2 linked regions of the Arabidopsis thaliana genome follow. The protein of the gene in region 1 interacts with the protein of each later gene in a pairwise test. Each region holds a gene or a part of one and is shown on either strand. Other genes may lie near its edges. The genes, in order: AT3G61930 and AT1G11050.

The links.
Region 2: the proteins of AT3G61930 (region 1) and AT1G11050 interact in a protein complementation assay, tested with the Arabidopsis thaliana proteins (one large-scale study listed by BioGRID).

What each region holds. Positions count from the first base shown.
Region 1 is NC_003074.8:22,930,586-22,939,063, forward strand, and holds AT3G61930 (uncharacterized protein), read left to right. Parts: upstream 1-4,924; 5' UTR 4,925-5,010; coding exon 5,011-5,340; 3' UTR 5,341-5,668; downstream 5,669-8,478. Other genes in the region: AT3G61920 (UvrABC system protein C), read right to left, coding at 2,053-2,616; MTPA1 (Cation efflux family protein), read left to right, coding at 6,860-7,864.
Region 2 is NC_003070.9:3,678,297-3,688,389, forward strand, and holds AT1G11050 (Protein kinase superfamily protein), read left to right. Parts: upstream 1-3,591; 5' UTR 3,592-3,595; coding exon 3,596-5,473; 3' UTR 5,474-5,873; downstream 5,874-10,093. Other genes in the region: AT1G11020 (RING/FYVE/PHD zinc finger superfamily protein), read left to right, coding at 1-54; AT1G11040 (HSP40/DnaJ peptide-binding protein), read right to left, coding at 929-1,379, 1,454-2,181, 2,491-2,628; AT1G11060 (WAPL (Wings apart-like protein regulation of heterochromatin) protein), read left to right, coding at 6,272-6,897, 7,392-7,491, 7,625-7,964, 8,161-8,273, 8,729-8,857, 8,998-9,091, 9,193-9,297, 9,406-10,025.

The sequences.
Region 1 (8,478 bases):
TTTTAACAGTGGAGTATTATTTTTCCGAATATTTGATGTTTTCATTATAAGTTCGCATGAGCCGCCACTTACAATTAAACATATGAGCCTCTAAGAGCTTGTTTTAATAATTTGAAAATGTCTGTTTTATACTCATAGTGAATGCACTTCTCGAAAAATTACTCCCTATGAGTTTTTACTTAATTCTTAGTTCATACCAAGTATATCCAGCCAAAACAAAAAAAAAAAAGTATATCGATCAAGCTTCTTCGGCCTTTGGTTTTGCCGACTTTTCGCTCTACTAATTGCCTAGATTAGCATGTTAGTTTTGTTTTGTTTTTGCTTTTATCCAGAAATCTCTCGTAATGGTTGATTCGTCATGAGTTCACCTAGTATTTAAAAATCTATCTATTTTTCTGCATGATTCAGTATCTCTTTAACAAAGAAAAAAAATATGATTCAGTAAATTAGATCCGTTATAAATACAATGTTGCAATATTTCATCTAATAAAAGTTATAGTAATGTCTCTCTTTTTTTTTTATTTTTTTTTGGGTCAAATATACTAATGGTCTCTTTATTAAACATCGAAATTATTTGCTCTTTTTGTCCGGTGAAATTGTTTATGGCAATTTCGGAATAGTGCGTGAGAGAGAGCGGTGGGACCATGCACGTAGCTATTGGGTAAAAATATGGTCCACGCGGGATCCACATATCAACTATAATGTAGGAAGCAAGCCCACATCGCTCCGATGACCCTCGACCTTAAAAATCTCTATGGACAAGACATTCCTCATTTTATTTTTATTTTATATAGAAACGAATAGTGTTAACAAAAAAAGTGAATGAAGGGTGATGGCAACAAAAAATGTATGTGATGTGATGAAGAAAGACTTTATACATTATTGTGTTAAATACGACTTTAAAGCTCGTAGCTTGTTCTTGTTGAAGGTGATGCGAAGATAATGATATACTACATGATAATCCACAACCTCCTTAGAAGATGGAGAGAAAGAAAGAGATTAAGATCTGATTCAAGAAGCGTTTATCAAATATATGTGAAGTTAACATTGCAACGAATGTCTAAGATTCGAATATTGTGCATGTGGTTCACTCGAACTAATCATAAAGTTAACCTATCTGGTATTCAGGAAACGACGGTGGATTCGATTCATCCAAATTAAAATTTTAAATTATTGTATTAATTTAAACTTGAATGACGGCATGAATCTAGATGAACAGTTGTTTACAACTGTAAGCGAGGAGGTATCTACGTATGTTGTAGATTTTGTGGGGGCCTATTTACAAAAGGTTATTTTCTGAATTTCCTTTTTCTTACACATGGTTTTGAGATTATAATAGATTAATACGCAAGGGCCGTTCAAATTTGCCATGTGCTATAGGATAACATTGTTAATAAAAAATTAAATCATGAGATTAAAATTTTGAGTTAATGAATATTCTGAAATGTCTTTTTCATTTTTCTAACATGGTTCTGAGTTTATAGCAGAGTAATATATAATCTGATTAAAACGAACGTTGTTGCGGCACGGAGCTATGATAAATTGATGATAATTAGTGACAAAAAACTAAAATGATATAATTGAAGTATTACAAATCGTAATTTTTCTAGAAGATGAAGGAAGTTTGCATGGGAAGCAATCTTAATTTGAGGTGTTTCAAAATTTATTAAACCCTTAATGGTGAGACGTCATATAACTATATATATTAGCACTCGTGCTTGTCGGACTTATAACTTTAGCCTAATCTTAAACTGTTTCTGGCCAGCTTTGTGTCATTGGGCCTGAAATAAAAGAGTTTCTCCCTTTTGTTTTGCTCTTCTAGACTTTTGGCATTGAATAGGGAAGATTAAATAATCTCTAACTACGAGTCTACGACTTCATAAATTAATTGTTTCATGAGAGATAACAATGATATTTCAAATATATCTACGTTGATAAACTTATATAATCGTTCCAAGTCTTCAATGAATACGGAAATCAACATACTAATTTAAATGCTTAAATCGTGAAACAGATTAAAACATAAACGTAGTTTATTCATAATTCGAAATTTTACCACAATTTCCCTTTAAAGCTACTCGTAACGCTTAGCTGGTCTGAATTCGCTCTCGAATGAACTCCTCCGCCGCAGCCGTAACCGCCACACTTCGCCACCGTCCTCACACTTTCCACCAACGCTTCCGTTTCCACATCCTCCGCAAGAATTTCCGCCAACTGCTCCGGACTTATCACAAGCCTCACCTTCCACACTCCACAACCACCGCCACTCAAAGCCGCCATTATCGGCGTCTTCCCGAAAGACATTCTGTACGGCGTTGATAGTTGGTCGGAGGAATCCAGTTGAGCGGTCGCGGCTGCGGAAGAAGAAAGAGGAAGGAGGTAGTAGATGTTACCGGGAAAGAGTTCTTCGCCGTGGAGAAGCGGTGGAGATGAGTGGCGGAGGCTTAAAGAGTCGTGGATGACATGGCCGGGAAATTCGTTGGTGATGAATTCGGCGAAGATGGGAGGATGAAGCTCCATCACGCCACCGTTTGGAGTCACCACTTTTATCAACGAATCATCTTTATCGTATAATTTTCTTGAACCACCATTGCCTTTGAATACGCAGTTACCCATTTTTGCTACATAAGTTAGAAATAATAACTGATTATTTTGTGTATATGTAATGTATGGAATCCAAAGAAAACCCCAAGACGGAGAAGGGTTTAAGACAAACGTTTTCTTTGAGCAGATGAAGTATATATCTTTACGACGTAAAGAAAAAATGAAAATTGCGAATGGTCCACCACTTTTCTTGTAAACAAAAGGACCGAAGATATTGTGCTTGCGATATTATCATCATTACTATTATTTTAGTCTTTGAAAGATAAATGATTATTATTTTTGGTTATTTGAGAATTGAGAGTAATTGGCAATGGTCTGTTTGTAGAACAATTGACAACAAGTAGAAAACATTTGAAGGTAAAATAAAAAATGAACTAATTTCTGTAGAATAATTGGCAGATTAATAAATAAAATAAAACCTTATCTAAACAAATTACAAAAAGTAAGATAAATGGTTTTCCTTAACCTATTTTCCATTTAGAAAGGTAAGTGATAGGGGTAATAATGTTCACGTGAGGTCAAAAGGTGAAAAGGCCGACAGAGACAAAAAGACTTTAATCTTTGTAAAATTATTATGGATGATTAATGAATTTAACCATTTTACCAAATTGTTAGAAAACCTCCACGAAAACTAATTCTATAAATTTATAAATGGAACGTGTGAAACTATGGACCAAACAGAGTACATCTTATCAGATCAACAGAGTATATAATTGCATGTTGTTTTTACTCGAATTGATTAATATAATGTCACATAACTTGTGTGGATCCATGTCCTACAACAATATAACATTTTGTCTTTTTATATTATACGGAGTTCAAAAAAGAAAGATTCTGGAATACGAAGGAAAAAAAACAGTAGTACCTTTCGGTGCACTCAATTACGTACACCAACAATTTCTTGGCGGGTCATTATTAATTTCAAGGGTCCTAATGGGCAATGGCCCATATTACATACTCTTCTTTTTTTCTTCCTATTATTTAAATTATATTAGAGAGCTTTGAGCCCACCATAGTGCAAAATATATTGTTTTTAAAAAGACCACTAGCTAATTGTCACAGTCTCTCACATACCACATGCTGAAATTGCAAATACTAACAAAGAATCAAGATTTGTAGAAATACAAATGATATTTTATTCATTTATTGTTTTTGTCAGTTTGATTTATTATTTTTGTAAAAAAAAACAAAAAACAAGTGAGATAGTGTATCGGTGTTTAGTTAGGGACTTAAATGTGATTTTGGTTCATATGTACTTTTTGCTAGCCTAAATTAAACTGAGTTTAGTATAAATTGTTCTGTACAATCTTGGTCTTGGTTTCTGTCTGATACTTTTTTAATTATTTATTTTAAGTTTCTTAATTATAAAGAAAAGAAGTTCATTTGAGCCTAACATCAACAAACTATATGGCCCAAACCATTGCCAACACTAATAATGGGCTAAACTTCACTGAATGGAACTACATAATGGGCCTCACGAAAAACTACATTATGAATTTCTTCTTTGTGGTCCTGATTATGACATTGCCTTCTTTTGTGAACAGAAAAAACTAATGACATTGCCTTCTTTGATGAGCTTTGCTAAACGGGGATCTTACATACAAAAATTTAATCTAATCGAAACCCAATCAGAAAAAACGGGGAGGTTCTCCGTTTCCGTTCGATCTAATATTTTATTTTGATATAAAACGAGAAATAGGTGATGATTAGTATTAAATTAGAGGTTTAAGGTGACAAAATCCCGGGGATAAAGACCGTACTTTAAGATAGTTGACGCGTGAAACACACCCTGTGTTATGTTATGGGTTTTAATTTACTTAGATTCCACGTCAGCAGATACGTGAACCAGAACAACACTTAATAATTCCGTCTAATAACCTCGCATGCCCCATGCATCGTAGTTCACATTCTTACTCAACTCCTTCCTCATTTATCATTCCAATAAACTTTACCCAAATGGTTTCAAACCGAGATCTAACCGTACTTGACTTTGAAAATCGAATGCTAACCATTTACATACCGAACCAAAACTAAATTTACTAGATTTTATCAAGAATAACATTTTTAATCAAATGGATTTCAAAATTATACTCAGTTATATATTGAATTATACATAGTTAATTATGTATAGTTACTTTCATTAGAAATAGTTATCTAAAACCGAAATAAATCAAAATTTTCAAACCGAATCGAACCAAACTAAATCATTTTTTTCTGTGGTTTCGTTTGGACATACTTTGACAGCAAAATCGAAATACCCAAACCGGAAAACCAAATTGCACACGCCTATATAAAATGCCTTCGCTTATAGAAAATGCCTAACAATCTCTCATAGTCATATATAGAAACAAGTCATACACGTATCAATTAAATGCAAGCATTTGGAAAAACAAGAAAGATCAAGAAATGGGGAATTTTCTTAGGAGAAGCTGCGCTGTGCACCCGGCTTCCGGCGACGGAGGAAGAGGAAGACACGTGGACGAGCCGCCGCAACAACGTCCAAGTAGTGTGCGGATTAAAGTGAGGATGAGAAGAGATCAACTCGAAGAGCTTTTGTACTTGGCGCGTCGTGGTGATCAATCGGACGACGGTGGTAAGATTGGTTTCTTGATTCTTAAAGAATGTATGGAAGGTCGCTTACCAGCGAGTGTTCTTGGCTCCGGTGGCGATGTTCGATCTCAACGGCGTGGAAGTTACATGGTGTATCGGAGATTGGGTTCCATCACCGAGGAATAATTCATTAATATATATATATGTGTCTTTCAATACATATAGTTTTAAAGTTTAGATAGACGACACTTTAATAACGTTTTCTAGATCAACAATTATATGTAAGGCTAAAGAAACAAAAAAAAGGAGTTTCGTTATCAAAAAATTGAAAAGAAAAATATATAAAAGTAGTATGTTTGTGTCACGCATTTAATTAAAGATATAAGTGTAAATCTCAATACTTTTTATTCGTCAACAAATATAAGAGTTTTGATGGCGTTTTAGCATCGCATAATTGTGGACATCTCAAAAGGTAAACTTAAAGACAAACTTCAAGTCTAATTGACAACTTCAAATTATTCTAAGAGCCATAAAACTATCTGGTTCATCCAAGTCGTTTATCGACCCATAGAATCTCCGGAACGTAGATAAGTTTTTGCGCTTGGTTGCTCTCTTTGGGCCTCTTAAGATCTCCTTGGCACCATCGGAAGGCTTCAAAATGATCAAATTCTTTATTCTTGTACCAAATGATGTAAAACAGAATTAGGATAATTAATAATCTTTATATTTTATTTCTCTATTTTTAAAATAACTACTATGGTTATCCTAATTGAATTATGATAATATTTGACTATTGTGTGTTTGTACATAAATTTTTTACAGACCTGGATTCTCCATTCAGAGTTCGAATCGAGACGTTTCCATTTATTTATATTTTCTCGTTTGGAATTTTCCAAATTCATCATTACAGAAAACAAACGTTAACATTCCATCAATATGTAATGTTGTACTTTTTTTTGTTTTTGTATTTTTCAAAATTTCAATTAATTGAGTCCCGTTGAAAGTCAGAGACGTCTAAGATAGGCCGAATAATTTTCTTCGTAACCATAGCAGCCGAAGTAATTCTGTATATTATTTTATTTAGTCAGCCTAGCATTTATCATTAGCCCATTATATAACTTTCAAAATGGGCCTGTTATTCTGTACAGCCTAAAGATTCAATTGTTTCGTTGAAAAACAAACAATTTCGTGGACTATCGTCAATAAGATTATGCAAAAAAAAACAAAAAAATTATGAACTTTAATGGAAATTCAGACGATATGAAGAGAGAGTTTGGCTTTTGTTTCAAGATTCTTTCCACTCTCTGTGTGATATCAGAATTGGCCCAAATCGGAATCTGATGTCGCTTAGATTTCGTCATTGTTACATTGGGTCTTTACTTAAATATATTTTCTAATGCTTCTACACATGTTATACAATATGATTTGAGGTTTGACTCTCTGTTATGGTATGAGTATGTTGTCATATCATTTAATGTGAATTTTTGGTTTGCTCGCATCCTTGTGTAGTTGTGGGATGCATGTCTCTGTTTTTTCCACCTTTAAAAATCTCCTTCAAGTCTCAAACTCTAACACCTTACTCCTGAATTGAGTTTCTACTATCTTGTTGTAAGGTATCAAATCTATATACTGTATTCATAGGATTGCGTATAGAACCCATTGAATATTGATTCATGCTCTAAAGTTACAATCTTTTTTGCTGCAGATGGATTCAAGAAGAAGTAAAGTTTGTGGAGAAACAGCTTGTGGGTTTTCAACATCTTCAAGTGATGCTAAGAAACGAGCTGCTTCAATGCGAAAGCTCTGTTTCGTTGTGGTGTTATGTCTTTTGTTCATGAGCATAGAAGTTGTTTGTGGCATTAAGGCTAACAGTTTGGCTATATTAGCAGATGCAGCTCATTTGCTCACTGATGTTGGTGCTTTTGCTATCTCTATGCTCTCCTTGTGGGCTTCTTCTTGGGAAGCAAATCCGCGACAGAGTTATGGGTTCTTCAGGATAGAGATTTTAGGCACTCTTGTCTCAATCCAGCTCATTTGGTTACTCACTGGGATTTTGGTCTACGAAGCCGTAACTAGACTCGTTCAAGAGACCAATGATGATGTTGATGGTTTCTTTATGGTTCTTGTTGCTGCTTTTGGTTTAGTTGTAAACATCATAATGATTGTTGTGCTTGGACATGATCACGGACATGGGCATGATCATGGTCACAGTCATGATCATGGTCATAGTTATGGGGAAAGAGCTGAGCAGTTGTTGGAGAAATCCAAGGAAATAAGGAACATTAATGTGCAAGGGGCTTATCTTCATGTTCTTGGGGATTTAATTCAGAGCATTGGGGTAATGATTGGAGGGGGTATGATTTGGTATAACCCTAAATGGAAAGTAATTGACTTGATATGCACGTTATTCTTTTCAGTTATTGTTTTAGGGACAACCATTAAGATGCTTCGAAGCATACTTGAAGTTCTAATGGAGAGCACACCGAGAGAGATAGACGCGAGGCAGCTCGAAAAGGGATTGATGGAAATTGAGGAAGTTGTGGATGTTCATGAGCTGCACATATGGGCAATTACAGTTGGAAAAGCTCTGTTTTCTTGTCATGTCAAGGTTAGACCAGAAGCTGGTGATGAAATGGTGCTGAACAAAGTGATCGATTACATCTGGAGAGAGTATCGTATCAGTCACGTTACGATACAAATCGAGCGTTAAAACAACAAAAGGGTTCATTTCTCTGGTTTTCTGTCATTTTCATGATCAAAGTTAAATCTTTTTTCGCTTTCTCGTATGCTCTCATTACCTTGTTGTGACATATGCCATTGTCTTTCTTGTTTATGAATAAGTTGTCTTGTCTTGAAAAAGGTAATTAAAAGGACATAACTTTATTTGAGATTAGGGATTTGTGTTAAGTTACTACTAAAGAAAAATCAGAATCTTTAGGGTTTATCTTTGATAATAGACCTACCAAAAAGAGTGGGGCATGTTTGTCCTAAGAGCAAGTAACCATAGCTCGTGTGTGACAGTTAACAACCATATCCAGTACACAATTGATAAACAAAGATTCAACTTTCTTTGGAGTTTTGATGTGTTGATAAGGTTTCTAAGGTCTTCGTTAACCAATAACCATGCAAAGCACGAATGTTTTGTTTCTTTGCTCAAATTTTGTGAGACCGGATATGAAGTTACCCGTTTGGATTGAGCTTGTGGACATGTTGGGACATTTTTATAGGACAAACACTGTTTAATGCCGTAGCAGCCAAGGCATTTAGAGTCAACCTTTTTCTTTTAATTGTAATCAAGATATGTTTGATTGCAAAGTAATAAAC
Region 2 (10,093 bases), on another chromosome or scaffold:
CCGAAGCTGGATGCAGAGCACGAAGGAAGACTGAAAATGCTGAAACTTCTGTGACCGTGTTTTTTAACTGTCAAATAAAGGTTGTAAGGAGTTTCGGGCACATGAGAGAGACGAGTTCATACGTATATGTTCACAGAGTGTCTTTCTTTTCTTTATCATGCGATGAAAAGTACCTAATGGATATTTTGTCTTATATATATTTATTATAATTATGGTATGAGGTGATGCAATGCTACTGGTTTTTCAGTGACTATTAAAGATATTGAGACCCAAATCTACAAACAGAGTCTATATACCGACTGATGTTTCAGTTATCACACAAAAAGCTCTCACCAGAGAAAAGGGATATTAGTGTAAAAGTGTTCCTTTTTGAGTTACAGTTTCTGAAAGCAGTGAGATGATAACGGAGAGCATAGGTACGTCGTTGCAGCTTAAATTTCCTACAAACCCCCGAAAACCTAAAAATATAACAAAAATACGACCACAGTGGGAGTCGAACCCACGACCTTCTGATCCGAAGTCAGACGCGCTAATCCACTGCGCTATGCGGTCATTTAGTATGCTAGTGCAGATTATAGTATATAATATCATCGTTTTCTTTTGGATTCACTCCAAAGAACTCGTAAAAGTCGTAAGCATTACTAAAGCTAAGTTGATTGTCAATTTTTTCAGATAGTTATCTTTGTCGATATACTGATCAATGTTAACTACAAGAAGACAATTGTATCATTCACAGCAAGAAAGAATCATAGAAAAAACAGCTCAATCTAAGAAAACAAAATGTATATATAAAGGAAAATATATAAAAATAAGCCTAATGTCAACGAATCACAACTTTAACGCATCAAGCCCACTCGACTAGTAGGAAACATATATACAATGAAGGAAGTGAAAGGCATGAAGAAACACATATGCATATTATAAACCTTTATGCCCAAGAACAATCTTTCAACACCTCATAGGCCATTGATCGTTGTTCTTCACTCAACTTCTCCGGGAAATTCACTAAAAACGTTATTCTCAAATCCCCTCGCTTACCTTCTTCTTTAGCATTTGGCATACCTTGACCTTTTATCGCCTTCTCAAATCCGTGGAAGATCACATCTCCCACGGTTATCGACATTGACTCTCCGCTCAATAGTGGCACCGAGAGTTTGCATCCTGTTAAAGCCTTTAAAAGAGGAATCTCTACCGCAATCTCTAAGTCGTCTCCACGTCTTTTGAACAAAGGGTGTCTCTTTTCTTCAACCACAAATGTAATATCTTCAGGTAGATAGCCCGGTTTTTCGTTCCCTACTCCTTCGAATGTGATCTTCGTCCCTTTCTTCCATCCCGGTTGGATATTCACTCTTAACATTTCTTCTTGTTGCATAATCAATCTGTTACAAAAAAACAGAACATAATGAATGACTCATTGAGTAAAATAAGAGAACGTGAGAGCCAAGAAACAAACCCTTCATCGGTAATAATGTCTCTTTTGATCTTGATGTTCTTGACTCCACCATGGCAGAGTTCTTCTAACGTACACTCAAGCTTTTTCTCCACAGCTGGTGGTTTTTTCGGCGGTGTAGACTGCGAAAACACTATCGGCGTTGTGCTTCTCCGGCTTATACTCTTTGCAATTGATCCAGCCGTATCCCTCGTGCTCTTACTCTTTGAATATGGCAGAGAGGTCGATGTCGCCGAGCTCGTAGAGCCTCTTTCATCCTTATCTCTCTTGCTAGCACTCTTCGAAATCGACGAAGGAGAAGATTGTTTGACGCCGTTTATCGGACTATTGCTTGTAGGAGACGAAAGTTTCTTTACAGATCCGAATAAATCACCTAAGGTTTGATCTTTTCCTCTAGGACTCGTGAAAGGTGACGTCATCGGACTGGTGTTGTTTGAGATGGGACGTGATTTCAAACCGTGGCTTCTCACTCCGCTGTGGCTGCTGCCTTCGTCTCTACGGCTTGTGCTTCTTGAGAAAGCAGAACGGCGGTTGGAAGAAGCGGAGGAAGAGAGGTACGTTGGTCTAGCTTGCGGCGTGTGGCTACGGCGGCTACTTGAGTTTGATAACAGAGAAGAACGACGTTTGAAGACGCTACTATCGTCCATGCTCTGTAGCCGGAGACCTCTCCGAGCAGCAATGAGATCATCCTCCTCCGCAAATTTCTCCTCCAAATATCTCCGGTGGATTGCCTATCAATTTTTACAAACAAAAATATTATTTTACTCTGTTCTCACGATCTCTGGATTGAAAAATGATTTTTTTATTTTACGAAACAGAGGTTTTCACAAACAATCCTCGAAGAGATAAAAAGAAGAAAGAAACGGAAATCCATAATGATATAAATCGAATATTTCGCCGTTTGATCATTGTTGGGAACAATTTATCTATTTCTACGTTATTCCATAGCAAAAATCATTGCTCAAATGTGAAAACGTAAATGAAATGATGATCAGAAAATAGCGTTCGTCACAATAAGAGAAGATGTTAATTAAACGTACGGAATCGGCATCGGAATGGGATTCGGATTTGCGATGAGAAGAAAGAGGGTGCAATTTGGTGACGAGGGACTTGTAGGCTTTGCATGCTGTCTTGGAAATTCCAAAGAAATCTGTAGCCGGCGAACGAGGAGTCCCCATTGCATACAGAACAAGAAGAAGATGATCAAGAAATTAGCGGAAAGAGAAAACAGAGAGAAAGATGAGGAAACTTGTCGTTGTCGTGTGTAGGGATGAATTAGATTATCAGACAGACGAAGAGCCGAGTTGTTTGGGAGAGCTTTTATTAGGAAATTTCTGTTTTTTTGTTTTCCGAAATAAAAATATTTTCTTAAGAAAATTTATAGGCTTTTCTTATTTAATTCCCCTTTGATAACTTTTTACTAGGAATTGGATGAGCATGCATCGACCCGGTTTGAGAGAGAATAATCAGAACCAAAGTATTGTACTTATCATGAGATTATGGATACACTCAAAAGATACATTTACCAGCGGTACATTTGTAGACTTGTATAGTTTATCGAAAGTGCATGAGCATACTGACATGAGAATAACGAATGATCCGTTTCGGTTGTAGCACAATCTTTGGTAGTTTTGTATGTTGCATAAGTTATTTTTATCCGCAATAGTGGATCCCCATTCCCATCAGCAAGCAATAATAACAACTCTACACGTAAAGAGTCTAATTTGATAATTTAGTCGACTGTTTAAAATGATATCTCTAGTTGACCTTTATTCAGTTTTCTCTTTTGTCTTACCGTCTGAATTTTTGTCCCATTAATTTTGTCAAAATTTTATAATCCTAGTACTATCTATTAATTTTGCTTTTTCAATTTTCCCACATTTAACATTAAAAACGAAAGTGAAACGTAGCCACTATGGAATATGTTTCATTCATCGTTAGTGTTGGCAGTTGCAGGTGGGGACAAGCTGCATTTCCATGTTGCTTCCAAAGTCAAACAGATCAAAGCAGCCTCTTTGACCAAAAGAATCCAACTTTTTTCCTCAACTTTCATGGCCGCCAAAATCAATCACTCACTTTCCACCACCAAAAAACCTCAGATTCTCCAAACCCATATCTTCGATTTCACCATAATCCAACATAAACATGCCTAACTCGATTCTCTTTCTTCTTCTTTCATTCCTGTATCTCACAAACTGCGTTGCTCAATCTCCATCACAAACTTGTCCTTTAGATTTCTCTCATGTCCTAACAATCCCATGGAACACAACAGATTGTCAAAAGTCCGACAAATCAGCCGATAGCAAGAACAGTTGTTGCCAATCTCTTTTAACTCTAATCGGAATCCCTCTAGCTCATCGTCTCAAACAAACTTCCAATTTCCGTCTCCCAAATCTCGCTACTTCAATCTCTTGTCTCAACAATCTCCAAACGAAGCTTAGTTCACTCTCTCTATCTTCGAATCTCACCTCTCTCTGTTTCGATCCGAATCAGTTCGTCATCAATAACGAAACCTGTGCTGGAATCCAAACGACTCAAGATTGGGTATCTCGTCTCGGTCCATCTACGGCGCTTGACTCCGCCTGTAGCAGTGGTCTCACTGATCTAACGCGATGCGACGCTTGCGTGGCGGCTGGGTTTAGGGTTCAAAAACAGCTCATCACTTTGGACGGTAATAGCTCTCACGGTGTTTATTGTTACCATTTTGTGGTTACTTACGCTGCTGGTATTGTTAACAAGAAAGGACCTGAGAGTGATGATGCTTTGTCTTGTCTCTTCTCTTTGAGTTTGAGATCTCCATTGAACTCAAAGAAGAAAAGACACACGGTGGCTCTTGCTTTAGGGATAACCGGAGCTATTTTCGGGGCTCTGGTTATTGCCGGTTTGATTTGTTTGTATTTCCGGTTTGGTAAAGCTGTTAAAGGAGGAGAGGTTGGTTGGGAGGATCAAGGGTCTAGACCGAAATGGAGACCAAACACTGGCTCTATCTGGTTCAAAATCGAGGAACTAGAGAAAGCTACGAATAACTTCTCGCAGAAGAATTTCATCGGTCGAGGCGGGTTTGGTTTTGTTTACAAAGGGGTTTTACCAGATGGATCGGTTATCGCGGTTAAGAAGGTGATAGAGTCTGAGTTTCAAGGGGATGCAGAGTTTCGTAATGAGGTTGAGATCATTAGCAATTTGAAACATAGGAATCTTGTTCCGCTTAGAGGTTGTAGTATGGTGGATGATGATAGTGAGAGTCAGAGATATCTTGTTTATGATTACATGTCTAATGGAAATCTCGATGATCACTTGTTTCCTCGAGGTGAGACTACGAAGATGCCATTGAGCTGGCCTCAGAGAAAGAGCATCATTTTGGATGTGGCTAAAGGGTTGGCTTATTTGCATTACGGTGTGAAACCCGCTATTTATCACCGGGATATTAAAGGTACGAACATATTGTTAGATGTCGATATGAGAGCGAGAGTTGCGGATTTCGGTTTAGCTAAACAGAGTAGAGAAGGAGAGTCTCATCTCACTACCAGAGTTGCGGGAACACACGGTTACTTGGCTCCAGAGTATGCCCTCTATGGTCAATTAACCGAGAAAAGCGATGTGTATAGCTTCGGGGTTGTTATATTGGAGATCATGTGTGGAAGGAAAGCTCTTGATCTGTCTACTTCTGGATCACCAAACACTTTTCTGATCACAGATTGGGCTTGGTCATTGGTAAAAGCAGGGAAAACAGAGGAAGCTCTTGAGCAGTCTTTGTTGAGAGAGGAAGGCTCAGGGCTCTCGAATCCGAAAGGGATAATGGAGAGATTCTTGCAAGTTGGGATATTGTGTGCCCATGTATTGGTTGCTTTAAGGCCAACAATATTAGATGCATTGAAAATGCTTGAAGGAGACATCGAGGTTCCTCCTATTCCGGACCGACCAGTCCCGCTCGCGCATCCTTCGTACCGTATGGACGGAAACGGATTCACAATATCGCCTGCGCTTAGCGGACTACAAATACATTCCGGAGATATGCTCAGATGAAAAAACTAGGCTCATGTGAGATTTTATTTTGTAAATATTTGAAAGCAACGATCACGTCTTTTGATTACATCATGTAAAACAATTTCAGAATGTTGTAGTATATCATAAGTAGGGAAAACATATAGTTCATTGTAGGATTATATTCTAAATCAAAGTAGAGGCGAAGGCTGAGATGCGGGGGTGAGGGCGGTAGCTGGTGGAAGCCTTCCGGTACAAGTGCAAAAGTTATTAAGGCACTCACATTTGGTGCAGTGGTTCACAGTCCTGCACCATCTTGACACTAATGGTCCTCTCGCCTCAGCCACCATGTAAAATTCTGCAACCATTCAAATTTGTGTTTATTTTTGTCCGTTGCAAAATTTATATGTATATAAATAAGAAGAAATTACATATTTTTTTTTTTTGTCAACAAGAAATTACATAGTTTGATACATAATGATTTGTCAAAGCATTTTCAACAGAAAAAAATCAGATACATATTTTACTATTAATTTTATATCTGGTAAATTCTATATTTTACAGTATACAGTACATTACACAATTTCCTGAATCAGTTGAATATAAAATGCTCAAACTAGCATAAATTTAAAACTTTCCAGCATTGGTAATACTCAAAAAAAAAAATCAATAACAAATAAATGTTTAGTTGTAATTCAGACACAACTTGAAACCCCAAAAATCAGACTGTGAAAATTTGTGTGCTCTTTTTAACTTTTAATTGCTAAAGTTAGTTAGTAATTTAAAACATTCTGGTTACTCACTTAGTATTAGTTATTACTGTGGTAACAACAAAATTTAATGATAATTGTAAAACTAACGGCCAATCGCATTTGCTGCTCTCTTCTTCAGCTACGCAGATCTTACGAGCACTTTTATATATTTGTCTTTCTTCCCGAAATACCCTTGTTTCGATTTTCTCACCTAAAACTCTTCCCCAAAAATTTGCAAATTCAACGACTCGTCTCGGCGATGATGGAACGAACCTACGGCCGCCGTAAGCCGGGGATTCCGAGGACCCTATCGGACTCTCTAAACGACTCTGTTTCTCAGACTGAGTATCTCTCTTCCTCTTCGTCGCCGGACATCGAGCCCATTGATTACTCTCTCCTTCCTTTCTCCAGTCAAGAGTCTTCCTCTCTCTGGCATTCTTCTTCCAGGTCAAATTTCAGAGAGGATTATCCACAGAACGGAGGTGTTGTACGGAGGGCGAAAAGAGTCAGGAACGGTGCTGAGGCTGCTGCTTTTACTTCCACTTTGCTTGAGGCTCAGGAGTTTGGTGAGCTGATGGAGCATGAGGATGAGGTTAACTTTGCGCTTGATGGGTTGAGGAAAGGACACCAGCTCAGGATCAGAAGAGCTAGCTTGTCCTCTCTATTGTCGATTTGTGCATCTCAACACCAGCGTCGCTCCTTGAGGGCTCAAGGGTAAGAAGCTTTACTCTTTTTTCTTAGATTTTTCGATTTCCCCCTTCTCTTTGGGGTTTGATTTTGTTCAATTCATGAGAAATTTTCCAAATTGGCATGTGGGTTTTCATTGTTTTCCGGTCTTCTAGATTAGGGCACGATTAGGGCCAACAAACTCTATGGTTTCGTTTTCTCTTCTCTGTATTTTTGGTTCTTGTAAATCAGATTTGTGATGGATTTGGACTTCTGAAGAGGATTAGGGCATGACAGTTTAGAGAATCTGGTTTGTAGTGGATTGGAATGGTGTATTACTGAATAGGGTTTGTATCATGATGCATGCGAGGTAAGGTTTTAGGACTATGTCTGATTCTCTCCCAAGGACTGGAGATTTTGTGTTTGTCCCATTAATTGATTCGTTGGTTGAGTCGATAAGAAGTCCTAGATGGATGCTGAGTCGTAAGTATCATGAAATCTCAGGAAAAGTTACCTAATTTTGTGGGAGCTTATTGTTTCAGGATTTCCCAATCCATAATTGATGCGATTTTGGTTCTTAGCCTTGATGATATACCAAGCAATCTTGCCGCAGCCACCCTTTTCTTTGCGCTAACTGCTGATGTAAGTGATTTGCAGATGCTGTTATGTATGTTTTTGATGTTTAATCTTTGATTCATTGACGTTTTTTTGGTTTCTTATTCACCATTTCACATTTTCCGTATATAACTTTACCAATTCATTTTCATGACTCCAGGGTCAAGACGAGCACTTTATGGAGTCACCCAAGTGCATCAAGTTTCTGATAAAGTTGTTGAAACCTGTGATTGTCACTAGCACCGAAGGGAAGCCACGCAATATAGGATTTAAGCTCTTATCATTACTTAAGGATGTTGATGCAGCACGGGATCCAGTGAAAATGGATGATCCGAGCTCCAGTGATATCCTCTCAAGAGTTCAGGAACTTCTTGTTAATTGCAAAGAAATGAGACTGAATGATAGCTATATAACTGAAACAACGAGGCCTGAGCTAAGTACAAAATGGGTAGCTTTGTTGGCCATGGAGAGAGCATGCGTATCCAAAATTTCTTTTGATGGTATTAGAACTTTTTGCCTTTTCTCCCGGAAGTAATGACTAGCTAACTATTTCGGAGATCATCTTAGAATCAGTTAGATTAGGTTATAGATGATGAAAAGTTCCTGTTCTCTCCAGTATTTATTTTGCTTCTCTAGGTTTATTTTAGCATAGAATTAAGGTGATAATATTATGATCTTTTGTTTACCCCCATCCAGATACTTCTGGTTCTGTAAAGAAGACTGGAGGGAATTTCAAGGAGAAACTGCGAGAACTAGGAGGACTTGATGCAGTCCTTGAGGTTGTTATGGATTGTCACGCTGTTATGGAGGTGTGAAGCTGTATGTTTTTTTTTCATCTGCACTGATATCTTTCGTAATATAGAAAGGTAGTCTATGATTGCCTAGGAGGTTGATAACTCGTATAAAGCATCTTAGATTGCTACTTTTGTGATTGTTTAGGTATTGTCAGGGTCTATTCTTTTTGCAATCCAATTTACTGAAACGTGGGTTAAGTGAAGGTGCTTTCTTTGTATATTGAAAGAGAGATTACTTGTTGACTTTCTTTACAGTGGTGTATGACTTTGTTTATACTTAGAATAAGCTCTTTTGACACAAATTAGCAATGTGAAGGCACTTCTATTGATAAACTATATAGGTTATTTCCAGAATCTTCTACTGCCCCATGTATACTCTCCTTTGTGCATTAATTGTCTTAATTGCGGGCGGTTTGCAATTGCATTATGTTATATTCATTGAGAGAATCTAATACAAATTCTATATGCAGCGTTGGGTGGAATACGACGCACTTTCCGTCCAGGAAAAGAAAGATAATCTGCATAAACAGAGTTTAATGTTGCTTCTGAAGTGTCTGAAAATCATGGAGAATGCTACATTCCTCAGCACAGACAACCAGGTATCTTTTATGTATATTGGTTTCTAGATTCATGACAATATCCTGGAGATTCGGACGTTAATCAGCTGTGTTATCAAGTTGCAGTATATATAACTCAGTGTCTGATATAATATAACTGTAACGCTAATTTTGCTTTTCAGAATCATTTGCTCGGATTTAAGAAATGTTTGGGTTCTCATGATTCCCGAATGTCTTTCACAGAGCTCACAATAAGTGTCATCAAGATGCTTTCAGGTTCGCAATTGTTAGCATGTCTTGTTCTGAAGTGTTACACATTTTGACTTCCGCTCGTTCTATCATCTCTTATTCTGATTACTGGTTGGACTGATGGCTAGGTCTTCACCTACGTGGAGGTTTTTCAAGTCCTAACACGAACAATGTGAATTCTCACTATTCAAATGGTGGTAATCATGATTCTGTTTTGGAAGCAAATAGGAAAGGTAATTTATTCTTCTAGCCATAAATGAGTCCCTCTCCTCTCACTGTCTCTTTGTATTCCCCCTTTGGTCTCTGTTTTTTCTATGCTAAGCCACTTATATCTTTTGCAGTTACCAATGAGGTTGTGACAATCAGTTCAGATACATACTCGACCGTTGGCTCTATCTCCACGAGGAATGGGAGTGTATCCCAAAGAAGTCAATCCATAATCCATTTAGATTTCTCGCCAACATCAATGTCGGGTTCTCAATCAAGTGTGTCGGGGAATGAGCCTACTACGTCAAAAACAAGAGTCGGTTCCACCATCTCTGGCTCATTTGCAGGGAGATTAGCGTCATTGGGTAGTGACATTGCCAGAACTACTTTAAGGACTACTCAAGCTGGAGAACCAATCTGTAAAAAATTTGGAGAGTTTGCACCCCCCGAGGAAAGCGAAGATCCTTTTGCGTTTGATTTAGAAGATTATAAACCTTCCAAGTGGGCAGTAGTGTCCGTAAACCAAAAGAAGTCTAGAGCTCAAAAGAAGAAAGGATGCTACAAACAAAGTAAAGATGAAAGTTTGTATCAGCTGTTCTCAAGCCAAGAAGAGTCATCAAACCATAGGTTGAATTCCCAAGAAGAATCAAGTAACAGAGACTGCAGTACATCGCTGCAACCATCTCATTGTACAAATGACATTGATGAAGAATGTCTCTGTCTTTTATTTGATTGCCTTCTGACAGCCGTAAAGGTAATTTTCTTAGAGTCTTTTATCACCTGTTTACTGGTCTGCGGTGAAATTCTCTCAGCTGGAGTAGC